2 linked regions of the Saccharomyces cerevisiae S288C genome follow. The protein of the gene in region 2 interacts with the protein of the main gene of each other region in a biochemical or structural test. Each region holds a gene or a part of one and is shown on either strand. Other genes may lie near its edges.

Region 1 (3,170 bases), on a different chromosome or scaffold from region 2:
TGAAATCTTGCGGTGGCGAATGGGGCGATTACATCATTTGTTCCTACAAAGCCGCTGGTAATGTCATTGGTGAGTTTGCTGACAACGTTATGCCATTAGCTTAATCACTGAATTTAGCGAATACATGGGTATGGACATGAACAGCAATGGGCACTGTTCCTTCTCTTACATTTCTCTTTTATAGTTTCAATTTTTATTATACACTAAGGATTCTTCTTTTCTAGGGTACGCAAATTAAATGCAAGCAAGATCATATAACATTGTCATAGTCTCATGCATGGTAAATAGGGTGAACGAAAAAAATTGGGAGATCTTGCCGACGGCTACGTATATATATATATATATATAAATATATATATATATATTCATGTATACTGTATATGTACAATCATATATAAAGTTACTCTTCCCTTTTCTTTTTTTTTTTACATTATTACGTATATACTGCTTTATTATCGGAAAGTAGCAGTTTAATTAAAGCAACTTCTGTTGTTTTTCCTCTAAAACACAAATCATAGGATATCAACTGCAACAAGATGTTGGATCATTTGTGGATGGCCTTTGCAAATTAATGTCTACTTGTCCGTTATTGCCTCCACCGATTTGTCTATTTTGCTTAGAGAGAATTTCGTCTTTCTTTAAATCGTATAATTTTTCACCAATATCTTGAAAAATTTCCTTAACCCCTTCACCTGTCTTAGCACTAACTTCTCGGAACAGCAACCCTTGTTCTTGTGCGTACTGTTTCGCTTCTTCAGTGCTAATTGCTCTTACTTTTTGTTCTTCATCTCCACCTTCGTTTGAATCTGGGCTTGTCTCAGTGCTAGGCGTTTCTTGACATAAATCCACTTTGTTTCCCAGTAAATAAATAACCAAGTCGTCGTCGCCTACCTTATTTTTCAGCTCATCAACCCAGTTCCTTGCCTTTTGTAGTGAATCTTCCTGCGTAATGTCATAAACAACTAATGCTGCATTAGCGTTTCTATAATACATTGGTGCCAATGACTTGTATCTTTCTTGACCAGCAGTATCCCAGATTTCAAATTTTATAACGACATCCTTTGTTTCATTACCATCGTTTGGGTGAATAGTGATTGATTGAGATAAAAAAGCAGCACCAATCGTACTTTCACGTAGTTCATCGAATGTATCCTTAACAAAACGATGAACAATGGAAGATTTACCCACGGATGAGTCACCCAATAAAACTAGTTTAAATTGCAACATCTGTTAATAATATATACGTTTACTCCAAATAAGTTAAACCTTCTTCCTACCCTCGCACTATAAAAAAAAATTTAGATATGTCCAGAGCTCGATATCGAAGCGACTTAACAAATAATTAATACTGACAGTTGGTAAACGGGCCTGTTCCCTTCACTCCCGTATGTTAACATTGTAACTTCATATCGCAGGGGCAGAGCTTTATAAACCTGAATTGTCCGGCCAGAATAGTAGTCGCTGTCCACGAAAGCAAGACACTATGAAGTTGCCGTTTGGTCTCAATGATACACATAGTGTTAAGAACATTGAGTAATTTGGAGTCAGATTGATTTCATTCCTTTACAATCGTGATGTGCCTATTTAATTCAAGGTCATGTGGATTTCAAAATTTAACATAATGATTTTACCTACCTTTCACACATTTGAACATGGGAACGCTTAAATATTAATTACTGTGCTTCACTACAATTACAAGAGAGTACGTATTGACGTTATTACCAGTTTACTTTCCATCATACTTATCGCAGAAAACAAAATATCTAAAAAAAGTATAGTAAACGGTTGATGTCATCAAGAAGCATACCTTACTCCTTATATAGAAAGCTAAGAGACACCTAGAAACATTGATTTGCCAAAAATCCACATTCCTCGAAATGGGGCCTAAAATGTGCGCTAATGCGCTAATAAAGGTGATATAAAGTTCAAATCTTGAGTATACATATGACATACAACCATAAGGCCTGATTATTGTCTATTTACTGCAATTTTCATCTTCAGTTCCAATCCACGGTATAATGAAATGTAATGCATCCTATCTTATTTTTGAATGTATTATGTTAATCGTCACGTTTTGGTAATGATTTCTAGATGCGACTATAGCATTTTTGGCAAATCAAGCGTTTATTTTGACTTTTCTAAATTTGGCTTTAAAATCCCTAAATTTCACAGTTACGACATCCTTAAAGTGGATATCTGTTAAAATAGTTGACCCAAGTACTTCACTCTCCCCAGGCATTTTGTTGATGTTGTTACTGCTCGCATTGTATTTCATTATACATTTTCTCTTGTCCTTTGTTCGCTGATTCCTTTCTCCATGAGGTGATATGTTGAGTTTAATCTTAAGGTATTCTCTCACTAGACCGTGCGCTTCCTCTTTATGGCAATTTTTGCATGATTTACTATTTTTATTATTACTATTATCATTTTTACTGGCGGAAGATGCTATTTTGGTCCTAGGTCTAACTACCTGATTTTTTGTATGTCTCTCCGAGTGCTTACCAGGTTCTTCGACCTGATTTTCGTCCATAACCATCTGATCTTTACAATATTTTTTCTCAAATGTCTGAGCCTTCTCCAATCCTAGCATTTGTTGCTCCTTTCTCCAAACTCTAGCACATCTTTCACTCATGTAAATTGGATCAATATCTTTCATAGTGGTATTCCAAGATATGTTGTTTTGGTCATTATCTTGGGGTTCAGGTTGAAAGTACGCGTTTTCCATCGGTGTTCCTGCATTATCTTCACTTTCGCTTCTAGACTTTTGAGCTATTCCGTCGTTCGCAATTTTAGGTCTGTCGTTATTTTTCTCTTCATTGTCATCCTTTACTTTATCCACTTCTGTTACATAGCCTATTACCACAGCAGCGCAGTTATTAAAAGTATTGACAACCCTATTAGCGAGAGGTGTTTTTATGATATTTTTCAATCCTGATGACGCTTCAACTTCAATACTATCCATTTTTTTTCTCTCTATCATAATGTTCTCCTGTTCCTCACCTTGCATCCTCACCTTGGCTTCTTCTTCTCTCCGTTTTTTCCTTTCCTCGTGTTCCTTGTAAGGTCTCATGTCAACATAGAATTTTTCTGGTTCTAAAGTCCAAATAAGATTAGGAAGGTCTTTATCTTTAAGCTCTTTGATACTCAAGTTTTTTTTGTTCAAGTTCTGC
Region 2 (4,008 bases):
CCACTGGAGGATATAAATCTCCGTTGTAACATTAAGTTCTCGTAAGCAATTGTTTAAATTTAATAGGTAGTGATAAAAAATTTGACGATATCAAAGTTGTGGTGTAATTAATAGAATACATGAAAAGTTATGATCAACATAAAAATGCTCTATACCAGATAGAATTTTATAAAAAAGGAAGAGAATAAAACGATAATAAAAGGAAAGACAGGTTAAACGATTGGAATGGGGTCTTCAAGTTACAAATCTAGAGGAAAGTGTAGACCTAGTGCAGCAATTGTAAATTTTGAACCTTTCTGTGGGGGGAGGGGTTTCTCAAAGTATCAGATAGTATTATGCACGGTAAATAAAGCCTAACAACAAGAAGTCCAAACAATAAATAACAACCGTTTCTGATCCTTGGATCGTATACAGAAGCTTGTTCATTTCAGTTTTTTCATTGTCTCTTCCTTCGGTATGCCTACCTTTCTGAAATATATGGTTATTATTCGAAGAACTCGTAAGGTCCGGGTAATAATTATGAAATGCAATAGTAAAATATAATTATTACTCAACTGGCTGTATATATACGAACTCCTTCAACAAATGTACATAAGAAATGTTTATCACAACTATCAAGTTTAATCATAAATAGTTTCATAAGTGTGTAATTCTGGGCTCACGCTAAAGTATATTCCTGACAACATAGTTTGGCGAAGGTTTGGCAATATCTTTATCAAGTAGTTCATGTAAGGATAAAAAAAATGCGATATAATAGTGGCTAAGGGCTCAAATGAGGATTCGTCAAAATAACATTCATAACTTGCAAAGTGATGAATTCTCTCAAAGCCATGGAAATTCCACGTCGTATCCTCAGGGGCATACTGTAGTAAATCCAAATCCCAGTTCTTCTGAGGATCAAACCTCTTAGCTAGAGATTTTCCAGTATATGCTGCAAACACTATCGGTATAATATCCAAGTATCTTGCATCCGGGGTCGAAAAGTATTGATGATTCATGATGTACTTATCAAATAATGGTAAGTATTTGGAGCAGAACGCACATTTGCAGCCGTTCCACAAAAGGTCACACGCATACATTTCATATGAGGTGATGGACTGCAATACAGTTGGAGCTATTATTGTTTCCAACGAAGTTAGCTTTGGTAAAACCTTTTCATAAAGTTTTTTACGGCGAAGCAAGTTCCCATCAACAGTATCAATGCCCTTGCCATTTAAAGGTGGGTCATGTCGTATGCTTAACAAACGCAAATCTTTACTCACGTTTGGTAAATTTAAAATAAACTTATTAACGACCAAGTCCCATTTCTCGTCCATGTAATGGTACCCTTTTTTGGTGAATGTCTTTTCAATGAACCCCAGACTTGTTAAGGAAACAAGGTTTCCTGTTATATCTTGAAGAAAGTCATCATCACATTCACAGTCGTCCACCTCACAAGAAAATTCTAATTCAAGGGCTTTAAGATTGGATAAATTAACTACATCCTTAAACGCGCGTGAAGATAATCTCATAGAAGTAGCACTCCCATCACCTTGTTTGTGAACATGATTAAGCTTCAAACGGCGCAGATTCTTGAAGCGGAGGTTCAGGGAATCAAAGTATTCAAAGACCCTTAGGCTTGAGTACGCTTCGTCCTTTATTTCTAACTCTCCTCCATTAAGTTGCTTCATTAACATTACACCCACTTCAGGGATTATTACGTTTTGCAAATCCAACGATTCAGGTAATTGCCATTTTAAGCTTTTGAAGTTTTGCCATAATTTGATACCATCAAATCCAGTTTCGCCATATACTACTCTCTTCTTTAAACTTGACAGGCGATAATACTTTGCTGAACATAACTCAAACAAGGTAGGATCCTTGATGTCAAGACTTTCAATCACGTCCAAGTCAGTGATTTCATTGACCAATCTTTGTAACAGTTGCAATCCTTCTTCCCTGTTGTGAAACAAATCCTCGTCAATAGTCAGCTGTTTTATACATTTTAAATGCGATGTCTCCAACAACCTTTCAATTCTATCATATAAAAATATGTCATTCTTGTCACCGGTTTTCAGAACAGATCTATAACCACTTACATAAGTTTTTCCCCCGTCCAAAAACCATTTGTTTGTTCTTAAAACAGGATTCTTAGTTATGTGAATATTGCTATAAAGACGAGGGATTGCAATCATGTCATGCATTTTTTTGGATGTTAGACTTAGGCTTAATAAATCATTTTGATTAAGAAATAAGGAGGCATGCGAGAACACTATGAATATATCTTGATCTTGGAATGCCATTTGTCAGTATTACTTTTGTTATATCATGTGAGCACAACTGTCGTTTTCACAATAGTTCAAATTGACTAGAGAGTTAGTAAAGGGGTACAACTTGCTTTTGTAATAGGGCACACCTTTAATTTTCCATCCATGAACATTTTTCAACAAAAAAAGAGGTGGAAAAAATTCAAAAGAAAATGACAACGGTAAAGAAATTAAATCAAGTTCCATCATTGTATTTAGAATAGAAATCGACATGCTTTGTAATAGGTTCCACAATGAATCTCGTCACTAAATCCACAAGTAGGTTAGAGATGAATCAGATTATATGCAAAGTATATATCTGTACATATTCATTATTTATAATTGGGAATAACTGATAATTAGGGGATGAACAGAATGTTTAGTCAGAACATTGATAAAATTCTCATAATCAGAAGGAGAATAATGTTGAATCAGTTCCTTTAAAAGCGTTATTCTTGAAAATATTTCAGCATTAGAGCACCAGCCGAGTGGGGAATCTTTAAAATCCTCGGTGTTGAAGTGCTCCAATAGAGCACTTTTTAGGTGATGTATCTGGTCTTTGTAACACTTTGAGATATCCCTTCCAGTCAATTTTATCATATTTAATATATGCATTGCCTTTTGTAGTTCGTTGATGAACTGGTTATCCTTTTCTATAGTAAATAGACAATTCTTCGCCGATTCTTCGGCAGCAAACATATCATATTCATTTAGATATTGAAACAACTGTAAACACAACTCTTCTACCACCTCAGAACTTGTGAATACGTCAACAAACTTTTTTGTGAATATAAGAGCGGTCACACTGGTGTTCCTGTTATATTCCCAGTCTGCAGTTTGAATAAAGTTCTTATTCAAATAAAAAGAAGCCTTTTCTCTTATTTCAGAATCATCGTCCCATAAGAAGTTGTACAGTTGTAATAGTATTCTGGAGTTCTTACAACTTTCTGGATAAGCAGTTAAACATTCTAAAGATGCCAATCTAAAATCTTTTGAACAAGAATCGGCGAAAAATCCTTGTAACAAGTTCCATACCTGGTGAAAGGTTTGCGAAGACAATTTAGCACTTAGTGATGAAACGGCAGCAAGTTTTGTATCTTCACTATTATTTGTTTTTAGGAGATCAGTGCAGGTCGTCAGGGATAAAGTATTCTTTTTTCTTGAGAGAATTTTCACTACTAAAGCTTTAGCCATAGGCAGCAAATCTGGAACCCTGAGTAATAATTGTAGTTGTTCAAGAAATTCTGAGTTTCTTGTAGTTTCCCAGTGAAAGTTAGTATTCATGTACTGTAGTGTACTGAGCTGAGCCTCATAAAATGGAGAATACAATCCTAATAAGCAAATATCATCGAGATATATACTATCCTCATATTTTAAGAGCATGTCTAAGATTTGTGCAAGATATAGCTGTTTGCTACCATCCACAACATATTCGTTATTTTCAGCAATAAATGTGTTCCGCAAAGTGCTGATATAATCTTTTAAAATAGAATCAGGTATGTCGCATGTTTCCAATATACAGCAGGTCAATTTTAAGTAGGCCTTTTTAGTGATAAAGCACTTGTTCTCTAGTAGAAGCATCCTTTTCTTTTCAAGTATCCTTTGAATCAACTCCATATCTCTAGTTCCTGAAAGGTATTGTGGTACTAGTTGTTGGAGTGCTAGTAAGTGTCCATGTAACTGGTTTTGCTTCGCGATAGAAGCCAAGTCAAGTAATTTTCTT

What was found.
Region 1: the proteins of ROY1 (region 2) and YPT52 form a complex in vitro, tested with the Saccharomyces cerevisiae proteins (one study listed by BioGRID).

What each region holds. Positions count from the first base shown.
Region 1 is NC_001143.9:464,845-468,014, forward strand, and holds YPT52 (Rab family GTPase YPT52), read right to left. Parts: upstream 1,228-3,170; coding exon 523-1,227; downstream 1-522. Other genes in the region: PRY2 (sterol-binding protein), read left to right, coding at 1-104; YKR015C (uncharacterized protein), read right to left, coding at 2,117-3,170. UniProt on the Saccharomyces cerevisiae protein: Required for transport in the endocytic pathway and for correct sorting of the vacuolar hydrolases suggesting a possible intersection of the endocytic with the vacuolar sorting pathway.
Region 2 is NC_001145.3:782,000-786,007, forward strand, and holds ROY1 (Roy1p), read right to left. Parts: upstream 2,283-4,008; coding exon 621-2,282; downstream 1-620. Other genes in the region: PET111 (Pet111p), read right to left, coding at 1-32; tRNA methylation protein TRM732, read right to left, coding at 2,622-4,008. UniProt on the Saccharomyces cerevisiae protein: Non-SCF-type F-box protein involved in the endocytic with the vacuolar sorting pathway. Acts as a repressor of YPT52 by inhibiting the formation of active, GTP-bound, YPT52. Involved in the defense mechanism against methylmercury toxicity.